Linked DNA regions of Drosophila melanogaster. The protein of the gene in region 2 purifies or fractionates together with the protein of the main gene of each other region. This does not show direct contact. Each region holds a gene or a part of one and is shown on either strand. Other genes may lie near its edges.

Region 1 (4,851 bases), on a different chromosome or scaffold from region 2:
CATTGTGAGTTGTGAGTGCAAACCAACAAAACTGGAAAGGTGGAAACTAATTTATAAAATCAAAAACGTTTTCCCGATGACAAGCGATTTGTTCTTAGCTGGGAATAACACTATTATAATAATAATATTATACTTATATAATTCCTAATAATTTGCTCCAAGCATACATTTTTTTTTTTGTAAAAAGAAAATTAAAATTAATAAAAAGTAAGTAAGTAAGAGCTGCGTATCATTGTGCCGTTTGATATTCCAAATTCCTAATAAATTATTCTCTTATTGAGTTGAAAAATATCCATGTTTGTCATTATATGTGTTGTAAAGATTATAGACAGTTTAAGTGTACACATTAACCTCTTTGGTCAATCTAATCTAACTTTTTGGTAAGAGATGGTTTATCTCTTTAGCATCTCTTATCGCAGCATTTTCTGCGGCAGGTCTGGTTATGTTTCGAGTGTTCACGTCGGCTGTTAACGGATTTTTGATACATTGTTGTTATGTGTAAACAGTTCTATTTATGTACTTGTACATGTTGCACAGCGCAAATATTGTCGATTAACCATGGTTTCCCGTGCTAAGTTTCGATGTGATGCCAACCAAGTATAAACTAAAGATCCTGTGTTATACCAAAACGAATTCGGCGTTGTCAAGATCGATGTTCCCGATTGCTCTTCAGTTCACAAAGAATTTTCACAGTAAATAATGTGATAGCAGCATAAGTTTCATTAACTATCGCTTTGAAATATAGTCGGTTAACCGAAGTACACCCTTGCAAAGTGACTACACAAATGGATTGATGAAGCATTTTTATAGGGGTCAATATCCAATGCTAAGTGTTGAAAAAAATCCACAAATAAAACTTCAATATCTGTAGTGGTTCCCTAATTTAACTTATATATTCGGAGAATAAATGAAATTGTATATACATATGTACGTATGACAGGATCAGAAATCTCTCTGAGAATATATAAAAATCGAATCTTCAATTCAGTCAAAATTTAAAACCCACCGATATAATCTATTTAGTGATACTTATTTAACTAAGTGTTAATAATTTACAGGTCTTAATGACGGTTGGTCTTAATTTACAGTTGTAGAGAAATTCAATAAATTATTAATAAGACAATTGATTAGCAAAATAGCCATTCGTTGGACAAATTTTCCAAAAATTGTTGAATAATAATAATCAAATTTTTTAAATTTATATAATTTTAATAGTAAAAAAGGTACATAAGTAAAATTAGTATAAGTATATACATAAATAGTCCCAAACACTACGTGGCGTTGAAGCCTCCATGCCATGAGAAACCCTTAATGAAATAATTTAACATTAAACATGTTATGATTTTAAAATAATTTTATAAAATTTTAGCCATCGTGCCACATAAATCAATGTTGTTCAAAACTTTGTGTAGAGATAGGTGGGTCTGTAACACTCGAATCAAAAACAATATTAAGATAAAAATAGCGCGCACGGCAAGTGTTGCATGGAAGAAGATGAGATCAATTTAGATTCTTTGGAGATTGCTCTTTTTAACGCGACTACCATTTCATTGATATTATTTTACAAAAATGTTCCTGGAACATTTTAGACTCCATCGGTGGTGTCTTCTTTCTTTTTTCTTTTAACATTAGCCAATTGATTGGATGTGGAATCAGAACTGAAAACATTTAAACGATATCTACATAAATACTTCCGAGGTTTTTAATGGTAAGCTTCCCTTTAATGTGCTCCTTGTGAATACAGCATTACAATGCCCTCTAGCTCGATAGTTCAATTTGTATGCGATAGGCTGATACAGCCGATACTAATAATCTGCTCTAGGACTGATAGTGTACACACAACGTTTGAGCGTTGCCTAAGAAGTTTTTTTTAAATAAATATTTGTTTACATTGACTAATCGATTTTTTGTGTTAAACAACCTTATAAAAAATGCGCTAAACCTAAAATAGCCAAATGGATCATTTTAATTTAAAAATATTTATGCACCTACAGTGAATCAGCGGCATATAAAATTAATTCGCATTAAATTCAATCGATATTAAAAAGTTTATATATTAAGGAGAGAGAATGTAGAGCTAAATAATAATAAAAATGACATATGGGGAATTGATGCCCAAACTCAACTACAAACTGATCATACACAAAACCACAAATAAATATGTTGCGAAAGGAATTGTATTGTGCAAACATTATACATGTTTTACATGTACTGTGTATTATTATCATACTCGGTTCTCAGCATTATTGCGTTAACTGCATTGAAGAACTGCCGGCTCAGGCGTTATCTCCCTTAAATGACATAGTCGCCCAGTTTAACTTGCCATCAATACCAGTTCAATCAACAGCTTCCAGCTATGGCAATCGATCAATTGGAAACAATATAGAAAGTGTTAGAGACTCTCAATCTAAAAATTATTTTACTCACATGAGCTTCGACTTTATGCACAATGTTTTGTTTGCGGGTGCTACAAATAAAATACTTAAACTTAACGAAAACCTTCGAGTGCTGGCCGAGGCTGTTACTGGGCCGTTACATGATTCCCCGCAATGTCACGCTGGAGGCTGTCCGGAAGATATTGAGACATCGCTTGTCAATAACTTCAACAAAATTCTAGTAGTAAGCTACGCTCACGATGGTATTCTCATAGCGTGTGGAAGCATTCGACAAGGTAAAATAGCAAACACATATCAAAATAAAAATAAAATACTTAAGTCGGCGACTTCGTATGGGACCGAAACTCCTGACATATCGTATTGGTTTATAGAAGTTATTGGTCATTTTTTGTAGTCATCGTAGAACAATGTCGCAGTGTTTTTGAGCTCCACATAAAAAAGCGGCGAATATAAGTAATTATTCAAAAGTGCGGAAGGAATATGATGATAAACAAAACAGGATTTTAAAATGTTATAAATTAAAAAATCTATAGTTGAACTCTTGAAACAATTTGGGTAGTATTAACGTTAAAGTATTAAAATAAAACAAGATAATATGCTATAGTCAAGATCTCCGATACTCAGCTAGTGTGAATGCGAACTCGAAATCGAAATTTCATCATTTTTCTGGGATATCGATAGATATTGGGGAATAAAAGAAGAAACAATTTGAAAAATGTTCAATAGTGTGGGCGTGACCGGTTTGGCGGCTTTAGGGAGTTAGAGTAGGCGTGGCAAAAAGTTTAAGCAACTAATAAAATTAAAAAAAATATTCTAAAATGTTTGCAAAAATATGGGCGGGCAGTTTTGGGCATAATATTACTTCAATCATGCGATGCGAATCGTCTTTAAAATACTTTTCAACGAATCAGTTAACAATTTTTACTGTTCCTGAAATCAATTCTGATCGAATAAACGAATTTACATATTTGGTAAGTTTTGGCCAATTTCGTAGCAATATGATGAAATTGCGCTCTTTTTTAGGAATATCAAATTGGAATATAACAAAAAAAAAACTGAAACTAAACAACTGAATCTAATGTGCATTTTAAATAATAAAAATGGATCATTTTATACATCATATTAAAATTAAAAAAATTTCATAAAAATAATACGTAGTAGAAAATAAAAATTTTTAACATAAATAAAAATATGAAAACTGTTTATTGCAAGTCATATGTATCTTGAGGCACGAAGTGCGGACACAAGCACTCAACAATCATTGCCTTATTAATTTTTCACACGTCGAAAGCTGAATACTCTAATGAATATAATAATATTATAAAGTCATTTTTGAAATTTTTTTTTGTGATAATATGTACATAGGTTTGACTCTTTCTAATCTATTTTCAAATAATAATAACGTTAAGGCAATGCAAAACAAGAATTTTTCGCATGGTGCCAATTGATCAAAAATAATATAGATTTAAAGTCTATGAACTTCTAAGGTGAAGGGCATATATTGTCAAATTTACAATGCATGAGCACACGTGTGCACACACACAGATGTCTGGTATCACTGTATGCGTAGAAAAGAGCTGTTCGTTGTAGCGCTCTCCGCTCTCTCGCTCTCGAACAAAAATTCGAGAGAGCCTGGAGCAACCTCTAGAGCCACGGCGAGAAAATCGTGGGCTAAGGACAGGCAGACGGACATGAGTAGATCGACTCGGTTAGTGATCAAGATCAGGATTTTTGATATTTTATAGGCTCGGTGACGTTCCGTTCTACATGTAGTATACATTTTTACTTTACAAGTTACGGGTATATCAAGTCCAATGGATACTATGACTTAGGTGTTATATTTTGTCCTTAAAATAGGTTTTAAAAAATTCCGCGATAGTAATAAAATTATCTTTATTTTCAGGAGCCTGCGAAATTTACAGCCTGCCACGTTTTCCGGCAACGCCCCAGTTTTTTGCAGTTCCATTGGCTGCTAACGATGAAAACGCGTCTACATATGCATTTGTAGGTCCGGCGAGATATGCGTGGAAAGAAGAGGATATTTTATATGTGGGGACAACATTTACGAATGTTGGTGATTATCGTCATGACGTGCCAGCCATTTCGTCCCGCCGACTTGATGATTTAAACTATGCTGAATTTTCAATACAGCAGTCAATTATAAATATCGATGTAAAATATCGGGATCATTTTCTAGTCGATTATATTTACGGCTTTAATTCTTCTGAATATGCGTACTTCATAATTGTTCAAAAAAAATCACATTTAGCTGATGAGGCCGGTTATGTAACACGCTTGGCACGCATTTGCATTACAGATCCTAATTACGACAGCTATACTGAAATAACTGTTCAATGCACTGCAACTGAAAACAATGTTGACTACAATATTGTAAGGGATGCGAAAGTAACTCCAGCCAGCCACAAATTGGCGCAAAAAATGGGCATAAAAAAAG
Region 2 (4,695 bases):
TATAGATATAGATAGAATTGAAAGAAAGCGGAGCATAAAGACATAAATAAATATGATGTAGCCATTATAGTATATAGGCATATGTATGTATGTATGTATGATAGGACTGAAACTGGCAAATTGCTTAGTCAACCGGTCCGGGGATCAGAACTTCCGGCGTGTCCGGCAATCGGAAATAATTATCTAAAATTTGTGACAAATGCGGGTGCAGATAAGATTAAAGTTGCCAGGCGTGTGCAATTTTCCCCACTAGCCGAAAAGTATGCAGCAGTTCAGGGGTCAAGCACCATTGCATTGCCAACTATGAAAACCTTTAAATATACCCACATTACTTCCATAATAGACATAAATCTGAATTGCACTTTGCTCCCAACATAATTCATCCGACTATTTAGTTTTGTACAAACGTTTATTTTGGTTGATTAATATTACACTCTTTATTGATAAATTATGTGTTAATATAAATAAAGTGTTTCCTTTTTTTTTAATTTACCGCTCGCTCTCTTTCGTTAAAACAAATTGGCAAAATGTATGCATTTATTTAACATAAATATCAGTATATAAATTAACATCAAAGTAGAGGCTAATTGTGCATTTAGTATACATTAAATCAAGTCCAGGCAAATGCGTTGAGCGGGAAGACCATTGATCAGACACACACACACACATTCACACGTAACTCTAAATACTATATGTATAAATGAAAGTTCTTTTTTTGTCGGCTTCCCACATTCCCCGATTGTTCAGATATTGGCCATAGGCGGGGCCTTTCCTGGGGTTTTTCTTCCACACCCAGATAACGGCTATCTGGTACTGGTTATAGTGACTGCGTTTGGGGCGCTAAAGGCTATAAATCGTCTAGATTTATTTACAATTAATTTTATTTGATTTGTCATACGTTTCTCAGGCCGAATTTCATTTGCAAAGTTCTAATTTCTGCTGTTTAATATAATGCACTTGCGTTTTAAGGCAATTTATGGATTACTATTTGCGAAAATCAAAATTTCTTTTTTTGCAATTAACATTATATAAAAAATGTTTTTTTAATTAGTCGAAATCATTTTTAAAATGTTAATTCTTGTATGTCATAAGCGCAAAAGTATGAGTTGTACTTAATCTAAATTCTAAAACAAGTTAGTCATTAAAAATACTACGAAACAATAACTCAGAACAGAAAAATTTAAACATGTTATCTAGAGCAATATAGAAATTAATTTGAGCAATATTACATCAAATATCTCAAGTTTTAGAAGTTCTTCCACATTTATTTTACTGTGTACGCACAATATCATACTTATATGCTTATGTGTATATCTTTCTATCCGTGATCTGCCCCCCAGAGACCCCTGGCCCCGCCCCCACCCTGTGTAGCCCCCTTGCTGATAGCTGTGTTGTTGTTTTTGTGGCTGCTGCTCCCCCACATAAAGCTGACAATAAAAACAAAACTACGCTCACTCATTCACACACTCATGCCGTCACACTCGCAACCCAGAGACGCGCTCACACTTGCACTCACATCACACACACACACAATACACACACTCACACACTATCTGCTGTAACTAAAGACCCAACAAAGCGAATATGAATATTTTGCACAGAATTTTGCGCTTTGTTCTCTTCTCTTCTCGTTTTTTTTTTTGTTTTTGTTGAAGTTCTTCGCGTTTTTGTTTTGGGTGGGTTCAAAGTTCTTAGAGCAGGGCGCACTTGTGCCGCTTGGGTCCTCGAACGACAGGACATAGCACGGATCGTATGGCCTCGTCGAAGACCGTCTTCAGACCCTTTTGGGTCAGGGCCGAGCACTCCAGATACTTGACCGCAGCTATTTCCTTGGCCATCGCCAGTCCTTGGGGATAGGTGATCGGTGTTAGCTTCTTGTCCTTCAGCTTCTCGATCGTCTGCTTATCGTCGCGCAGATCCAGTTTGGTGCCGACCAGGATTATCGGCACACTCGGGCAATGATGACGCACCTCGGGAAACCATTTGGCTCGCACATTCTCAAACGATGCCGGATTCACCAGTGAGAAACAGATGAGAAAGACATCCGTTTGCGGATAGGATAGCGGCCTCAGGCGATCGTAGTCCTCCTGTCCAGCCGTATCCCAGAGGCCCAGATTGATGGGCTTGGCATCCACCATCACATTCGCCGAATAGTTGTCGAACACCGTGGGTATGTACTCGCCGGGGAAGGCGTTGGTCGTATAGCTGATCAGCAGACAGGTCTTTCCCACCGCTCCGTCGCCCACAACCACACACTTGATGGCCTGCATGATGAAGGCTACTGTACTGGTGGTACTACTGGGCAATCGATGGGTTCAGCAGCTCGATGGGTTGCTTGTGCGCTGGGGGCAGAGGGTTTTTCAGTGGATCAGCTGGTTTCGTGCTCGATTTCCAGTGGCTCAACTGGTTTTCTTTGTGGCAGCTTAACTTATAATTACTTTGGGGTAATTCATTCAATTCAGTAGGTCAGACAGTTTTTGAATGCTTCGATATTTGTACTTTTGAACTATTTTGTACTTTTCTTTTTTCTGTTCAACAGACAAATTTTAGTCACACAATTTAGTTTTGCCTTGTATCGCAGCTCAGCTAGTTTTTCTAATTGTATAGCTTTTGCTTTTCGCGTTGGCGTTTTGCTTTTATTGTTTTTTTTTTTTGGCGATTATACAATAATTTGCTCACGCACTAATACAAATTCTGCCCACACACACACACACATTCAAGCAATCGCGTACAGAGAGAGATGCGAATTTGAAGTGGAGTTTGATTTATCGCGAAAGTTGTCAAATCAATATTCTTAATTGAAAGCAGAACCGTGACGGCGTTCTTTCTGTTCGGTCGGTATATTATTTATGAATTAATTGGGCCCGCATATGTGGGGATTTGCTGATTTTCTGTGGCAGAAACGGAAAAAACACGCCCAAACGCTGTGAAATCTTCGCGGCGATTGAAGAAAATTTCTGCCTCCGCTGGCAGTTGTTGTACTTGTTTTTTCACTGTAGTTTTCGCTCTTTCAACTGGCTTGTACGGCTGTCTCGCTCGTTCGCGTGCGTTAGTCGCTTAAACGAAGCGCTGCGCGCATACGCTCTCCCACACAAAGAGCGAGCGAGCGAACGTGAGCGAGAGCGGCACTGGCACAGTGCAGTCCCATAAAATTAGTCACAGTGAGTCATTCGCTCGGTGACGTTAGTCGTGGCAATCCACAGAGAGCAGAGCGAGACAGAGATAGTGAGTCTCTTTACTTGACCTTGCTTTGGTCGTTTTTGTAGAGTTTTCTATATTCGTTCGACGGTTTTCCACGAATTTCCCGACCGTTGCTGTTGTTTTGAGCCAATTTCCACGCGACTAGAGGCTATCAGAGATGTGCGGTACCCAACTCAGGTACAAATCGCCCGTAGCTTATCGCGGTACAATTACAGTGCCACACCAAAAACAAGCAAAACGTTGATATCGCGCGATATAAATATTAATTGAACAATATTTTTTTTATTGATGAATCAATTATGTGACCTAAATATGTGTCACAGTCTTTGGATGAATATACTTAAATGGAAGTATTCATATTTTAAAATTGGAAACTCAAATTTAGATTCTGGAATTACTTTTAATTCTCCTTAATTCGGGCCATATTAATTTACGACCGTTACATCCCATCTAATTCTTAAACGAATTATTAAATTTTTCATGACCAGCGATATTTGCTGCCGTTGACTGTTTTAATGGACCACAAAATTGCGTGTGTCGGCAAAAACCAAAGCCCAAGGAATAACAAACAAATAACATTGGCAAACAGTGCAAAATATCGACAGTAAAAACCGAAAAGCAAAAACAGAACCCAAACCGAATCCACCGAATCCGCCGCATCCGCATTCAGCCAAAAGTGATAGCCGAAATATTTCGTGTTTGTGTTTTGGCTTCCGCCCCACCAACCAGAAGCCCAAAACATCCCCCCCCCCCGTCCTCCACATGCCACGCCCATTTTCGCATTGATTTTAAAATGGAAATGTTTAAAGTGCCGTCGGCGAATATTTTCGCATTTAAGTTAATTTCTCGCACTGCTGATGGTGCTGCTGTAATTGGATAATTAAATAGGCGCCACAAAATTTGTTCTCCAGCAATCCGAACAACAAGCACGAATATATGAATTTCAATAATATGCATTTTCAAAAAGTTTTTAATGGAATTTACTGTAAAAAATCCGCAACAATTAAATCGCCAATGAAGTCCGTTCAAGTGGAATAAATGTTTCTGTTTCCGTTTGTGCGTGGATGAATCATTCGATTTCGTATTCGATTTCAAGTGGGCGGGTGGGCGTCGCAAGGTTATCAGCGGGTCAGGGCGTGAAACAAAAACAACACTTTTTCGAATTAATTTTCAAATTACAGCGTAATTTAATAGATTAACCAATCGAAAGCTTTTGGCTAAAACAATGGTGTTAAATTAAGTTGAAAAGCGATAAGCGCAACAAATAATGCAGTTATCAAATTACCTTTCAGCAAAGTTATTTACTTAAACCATAACATTTTGAAACCCAAATGAGCCTTTAAGCTCCCAGAAAAAAAAAACATTTGATTGCAGTGTACCTATATTTTCCATTGCTAGCATATCCGGTGGTCAAAAGGGTTCATCAAGGTTTTTAAAGAGGCGGGTTTTCCCAGTGAAATTGGGATGTATACCTGGTACACCTGGTACTTCCAA
Region 3 (6,613 bases), on a different chromosome or scaffold from region 2:
TCCATTTAATCCGCTGAAAATCTACAACTTTGTGAGCAGGCGTATCCAACGGCGTATAGTAGGATGGGCCAGGCGGGTGTAAACTCCTGGATAGTACGGATCCGCGCAGCCAACTCCCCAGGATACGATTCCGATAAGGGTTCCCTGTGCGCTGATCGGACCTCCACTGTCGCCTGAAAAATGATGAGGTTCACGGTGTCATTATCAACATGTCGATTAAACGTAATTGTAATTATCTGGGCTCACCTTGACATGCGTCTGTGTTTCTGGCGGCCGCGCAGAACATTCTGAAAGATAATATAAATTGGGAATTAATTGGCTTTGTCTTACCAATAAACACTTGAGAACAATAAATAGAGATGTATCTCAAGTACCAACTCCCTTTTGAAAATTTTTAAATTGTGCTCAAGCAGTGAGTGACTTCGTGAGTTTTTTGGGGCTTCTGTCTTCTAGAATTAGAAGTATTTTTGGAAAGGCAGAGTTGTGTATAGAGATAAACTCTTAATTTGTTCAATCTACATGGCATAATATGTAGGGAATAGTCTCTTGGGTAAACAGAACTTAAAAAAGTAGTATGATTCCCCTGCTTACGCTTCGGTGACGCCTCCGTGATGGCGTAGATCGTTGTGGCACTTCTCTTGGTTGACTGTCAGTACCGTAGTGCTTTTGAGTACCGACGACAGGACGGGATTGGAGGTGCTCATGTGTCCCCAGCCGGAGACGACGGCGGGCATGCTTTCCGAGATGGCCTCGCCAACGGTGGGCAATCGAATGGGCGCCACTTTGCCCAACGGCAGGCTGAGTGCTCCGTCCGCTGTTCGTAGAAGGGCCACGTCGAAGTTCATGTCCGCCCGATCGTAGGCCGGATGCTTGTAGATGGCTTTCACCGGCTGAACAGTGCCGCCCGAGGTACGCATGATGCTGCCCTGGCGGAGTGTGAATTCCCGCGGCTGCTGCTCATGCCCGTCGATGCAATGAGCGGCCGTAATGGCCCAGTTGCTGGAGAGAATCGAGGCGCCGCAGATGTGTACCGTTTGGCGGCGCAGCGAGAGTTGGTATGGAAACTGGCCTTCGGTGGCTTCGCGTCCGTTCACAATCCGACTGTCCGGCTGCCGAGGGACGGCAGCCTCTGTGCGGGATGCTTCCAGGATCACAAGGATCCCAGCTATGAGAAGAAACGGAATTGGAGCTCGGCACTTTTGCATGACGCTGCGAACGAGTGGAAACTAACCAGCATTGGGAATCCGTAAGTCGATATATTCAATGGCGCTTTATCAATCACGGACGTTATCTAGTGGGGTACACGATTTCTGAAGAAGCTGCTCCGTTGCCCGTAATTAGCCATTGTCGCTTGGGTTTTTTTGTTGCCTATCTGCCAGATTCTCTGATTTTATTACTGTTTACAGCGGTGACGATGGCAATGAACTTCCGCAAGAGCATCGGGGAAATGCAGAAATGGTTAAACCATTTTGATAAAAAAAGGTAGTTTTTATCTTTTTAAAAAATCGATTCTTATGGGAAGATCAGAAGATATATATATATAGATATCACAAGATCACAAGATATGAGGTTTAAAATACCCAAATATAAATGAATGTAAGATGGATGTTTAAATGTTCTTTTATTTAACTGAGTTCTATTAATTACCGGATTCGGATTTTTGAAGAATTGGAAACCTATATATACTAAAACTAGTTGAGGGTCTATAAATACTTAAAATTATAAGAAACTTTTGTTAGTCAATACTAAAAGGCATTTATCCAGTAGCATGGCCGTTTAGAATAATATTTATATTATTTTATAAAAAATTATTTGTAATATTTTTAAAGTGTTCCGACTCAAAATTGTTGGAAAAAATACTGAACCACTTGACCAGCATCGATAGTCCTATAAAAGTGTCGATGTTTCGATAAAAGGCCACACAGTGGAATACTCGCCCAACTTAGCTGCGGTCACACTTAGTCTGCAATTTTCAAGAATTACACACGCGCGGATGTTTTTCGGTTCATCCTAAGAAACATAAAATTGCAACGCAAAGAGCAGCTTAAAATCGCGAATTAACCTTTAGGCTTAATAGTAAAAATAAAGAGTGTACATCGTACACAATTCGCATTTGTCGGCACAATTGGTGCGAGTGCGACAACAATAGCAGGCCGAGTGCAGCAGTGCGATTGCAGCAAAGCGAAGGGAAAAACCAAAGAAGTTATTAATTTCGGAGTGTTGCTCTGAAAGCGGCTTAGATATACCCAAATCAACAATATACTTCCGTATAGTTATGGAAGCCTGGAAGGGCTAACAAAAAACTATACGGGAAGGCAGTTTTCGGCCCGCGTAAGAACAGCAACAACAACAGACACTGGAAGAACAAGACTGCGACGGCCACTCCTTTTGTGTCCGACTTCGAGATGTGTGCGTGTTCGTGTCCGCGTCCGCCTTTGTGTGTTGAGCAATTGAAAACTGGTGATTGCTGAATAAATTAAGGTAGCTAAATTAATAATTAGCAAAGCGAGTGGGGCCAATAAAAAGTGAAAATCTTCTGCGTTTTCGTAAAGCGAAAGAAACTACAGCTACAGTTAGAGATAAGAAGAGCTCTCGCACACATACACAAAGCGCAGGCCGAACGAGCGAGTGTGCGTGCTTGTGCATGTGTTTATGACTCACGGCTGGTTCAGTGAGAGAGAGAAAGAGAGCGAGAGTGGTGGCTTGAGTAACAGTAACATTAACAATACCGAACGCGAAACAACAACAAATCTGCCGAGCGTTTAGAATTTCCCAAGTCGAGCGTTACTAAACGCATTGAAGAAAATCCCCCCCACCCACACACACTCTTATACAATAAAGAGAGAGAAAGCCGCTGGAAAATGAGCTTCACCAAGTGGTTCAAGAAGAAGGGCGGAGATGGGGGATCGATCTCAGAGATCGGTGCACCCACAAACTTCCAACGGCACTTCCATGTCTCGCGCAACCAGGAAACCGGCGACCTGGAGGGGCTTCCAGCTCCATGGGTGCGCCTAATGAACTCACAGATCACTCGCGATGAGCAGGACAAGAATCCAGATGCTGCCTACCATGCCGTTAAGTACTACAACTATTCGATTAAGAAGAAAGAGAACGAGGTCTTCAAGCCCTTCATCACCGAAGATGTGATCCACGAGGAGTCCAAGGAGATAGAAAACTATGTCAACTACAAAAACAAGCACAAGTCTCAGGATCCCGAAAAGTCCGACGACGATGGCAGTTCGACGGCCACGGAGACGGAAAGTAGCAGCGGTTGTGGCTCCTCGGCAGGTAATAGTAACAGCAGCAGCATCAACGACAGCAGCCAGCAGTCGACGGTGCCGCTGGACGCCCTAGAGGAGGTGTTCAAGGAGCTCAAGACCAATCTGGAGCACCGCGAAACGCTGAAGGCCGCACCGCAAGAGCCTCCACCAGTACCGCCCAAGAAATCGCCCCACACCATACCGCCCAAACCGCAAATCAAGCCCAAACCTCGTGTCACACAGAAGTTCTCACGCACTTCGGATATACGTCGAGATGAGGACTCCGACAACCAGCACAAGATCAACACAGACACAATCATCATCAAGCCAGCCGTAGGGGCCCAGGATGCTGGAGCGGATGATAATCCCGACGAGACGATACTGCGCCGCTCCAAGGAGAAGAGGGCCCAGAAAACCGATGCCGAAATCTACGTTGAGCTGCGGGCAATTTGCAATTCAGATGACCCAAGGGAACGCTACAAGACCACCCAGGAGGTGGGCAAGGGAGCTTCTGGCATAGTTTTCATAGCCGCCGATTTGCAGAACGAATCGCAGGTGGCCGTCAAGACCATCGATATGAAGAACCAGTCCTCGAAGGATCTCATACTCACAGAAATCCGAGTGCTCAAGGACTTCAACCACAAGAATCTGGTAAACTTTCTGGATGCCTACCTTCTGGAGCCCGAGGACCAACTGTGGGTAGTCATGGAGTACATGGATGGCGGCCCATTGACTGACGTCGTTACCGAGACTGTGATGAAGGAGCGCCAGATTGCCTGCGTCTGCCGCGAGACACTCTACGCTATTAGTTTTCTGCACGCTAAGGGCATTATCCACCGGGACATCAAGTCAGACAACGTGCTGCTGGGCATGGATGGCAGTGTTAAGGTGACGGACTTTGGGTTCTGCGCCAACATCGAGGGCGATGAGAAGCGCCAGACAATGGTGGGAACGCCGTACTGGATGGCGCCCGAAGTGGTCACGCGCAAGAAGTACGGCAAGAAGGTGGACATCTGGTCTATCGGCATCATGGCCATCGAGATGATCGAAGGCCAGCCACCCTACCTATACGAGACTCCACTCCGCGCCCTCTACCTGATCGCCGCCAACGGTCGGCCGGATATCAAGAGCTGGGATAAGCTGAGTCCCAACCTTCAAGACTTTCTCGATCGCTGTCTCCAGGTGGAGGTGGACCGAAGGGCCACCGCCGACGAGTTGCTCAGCCATCCGTTCCTCAACGACTGCAGCGAGGTCAAGGCCCTCGTGCCCAACATCAAGGCGGCCAAGAAGGTGCTCCGACGCAACGTATAGTTGCTATGCAATCACCGGACGGCCAGGCTGCTCTACGCGTGATCGGAAGCGGAATCGGGTTCGGGTTCGGGATCTGCCCCGTGTGTATAATGAGTTTTCAATGTAAATTTGTTTTGTGTGGACGAAACCGGAACTGGAACTGGAATAGAATGCTGACCGTAGTCTTTGTAGTATGTACAACCGTAGAAATGGCGAAAGCAGGACTAGGACCCGGCAACTCCCCTTCGAAAACAGGTAAGTCCCAGGTAGCCCATTTGGCCAAGCTCATTATTCAAGCGAAACGATATCCATTTCAACGGAAACCTTTTCGCAATCGCACATGTGGAAACAGAGGCTGTCGGTTTATTGTCCGATGGGTTAGTTTCTCTTTGCTGTCTAAATTTTGTCAAAGACCTAGACCCAAAACAGCGATAGTTGCCTATCTTGGGACTTTTAATCAGTAACTCACTTCGGTTCGAACAACAGATTAAATTCGATCAAGGTTGCGAAGTGCACGAGGCTTTTGTCTCTGATTAATTTTATTTCTTGTATACCTGGGAAAGGGAATCTTTAACGCGGTCAATTGCTTGCAACGCCCTATAGAGCAAATATGTTATGGTGCCAAGACAGCTTAATATGATTTAGAAAGTCATCCATCAGAGAAATGGACTGGGACCAGTGGGGTTGGATTTAATCCAAAAATGATTCACTTCTACAAACAGTTATACTTAAAACTCATGTTTTATTCAACAAATATTTAATTTTCTTCGTTTCATATGATTCAAACATGATTTGAAAAAACCAGATGATGATAACTTAATGCGTTATTATAAAAGACACATTTTTTAGTTTTCTGGTATAGCAAAAATATTATTATTTCCTGAATTAAAAAAATTCTTTGCCATTTCCATGAACATCTCTCCGTAATAATGAAGTTTGGGATTTTCCTACATGAGAGCACACACCGTTACTTGGCTAGCGCTGCAATTGTTTATGTCTCATTCGTTTGGACACCTATTACGTATAGGGTTTTTGCACAAACCATTCCATTGAAAACCGACAATGGACAAAAAAGCAAGTAAAAGAAAGAAGCCGCTCCGGCAGTAACAACAAACAACAACTGAGTACGCAATTTAACACGCTCGTTCGCATTTCCTGTTTGGAATATCGCTTTGTCTGGCCAAAAAATATTCATACATCATAATAAAGAAAACTTTAATTCAGGCACACAGACAGCGAAAACACCTACGCGCAGCGAAATGCATTTGTATTGGCCTTATCAGGCGCGTACAACATGCTGTATAAGTGCTATTGTAATTCCCCCAGCTGTAGAGAAACCGGAGGGGAATTTATCAAATTCTTAGAACAATTTTCGTCCATTTCCAATGTGATAAGCAAAGCTAAAAAATAGATCGTGAAAGTTCTACGAGAGAGTGCGAGAAAGAGAGTGCTAGAGAGGGGGTGGCGAGAGAGCGAAAGTGGAGTCAAAGTCAAACTGAGTGTGTGTAACACAAAGAATGAGAGTGTGTATAATTGATTCTGATGGCGGTTCTTCGGCCTCTTCCTCTCTCTCTCACTCTTCTTTAGTTCTTCTGCATCTTTGGTCGCCCTCCCACTTACTCAACTTAATTGCTTCTGTGGCAGGAGCAAACGAGAGGGGGGATGGCGACGTCGCGACTCGGCTGCGCTATTTTTACTCTCTCCCACTCCCACTTTGGCTTGCATCTTCCCCTGCATTGTGATGCACTGGCTCTGCATTTTCCAGGGGCGGATCTGGAGGCTAGTTTTTCAGTAGGTTTAAATATTTTAATGTGGTGACAACTGAGAGTATAATTAAAAGATACTTTCAGAAGCTAAGTTTAATTACCAAAACATTAGGGGAATATTCCTTGCAAACCACAACTAGATCCGCCCCTGGTTTCTTCTCCAACTTCTACCGGATCTCTAGGCTCTCTATTTGTTTATATTACTGGCGCATACTTTTGCTTTCCGTTTTGCGGGAGAGTGAGGGAGAGATAGCGATGGTTCTTCTCACTTGCGGATATTGAAATCTTTAATTCTGC

Evidence for each region.
Region 1: the proteins of Rac2 (region 2) and PlexB purify together in Drosophila melanogaster (affinity purification with western blotting, with the first as the bait; one study listed by BioGRID). This does not show direct contact.
Region 3: the proteins of Rac2 (region 2) and Pak3 purify together in Drosophila melanogaster (affinity purification with western blotting, with the first as the bait; one study listed by BioGRID). This does not show direct contact.

What each region holds. Positions count from the first base shown.
Region 1 is NC_004353.4:40,734-45,584, reverse strand, and holds the start of PlexB (plexin B), read left to right. Parts: upstream 1-1,806; 5' UTR 1,807-2,160; coding exon 2,161-2,671; exon of another isoform or gene 2,672-2,811; intron 2,812-4,299; coding exon 4,300-4,851.
Region 2 is NT_037436.4:7,432,241-7,436,935, forward strand, and holds Rac2 (Rac2), read right to left. Parts: upstream 2,951-4,695; 5' UTR 2,271-2,950; coding exon 1,692-2,270; 3' UTR 522-1,691; downstream 1-521. Other genes in the region: CG14835 (uncharacterized protein), read right to left, coding at 4,634-4,695. UniProt on the Drosophila melanogaster protein: Involved in integrin alpha-PS3/beta-nu-mediated phagocytosis of Gram-positive S.aureus by hemocytes.
Region 3 is NT_033777.3:16,449,159-16,455,771, reverse strand, and holds the start of Pak3 (Pak3), read left to right. Parts: upstream 1-1,950; 5' UTR 1,951-2,861; coding exon 2,862-4,571; coding exon of another isoform or gene 4,572-4,613; 3' UTR 4,614-4,805; intron 4,806-6,613. Other genes in the region: CG10405 (uncharacterized protein), read right to left, coding at 22-173, 247-287, 592-1,205.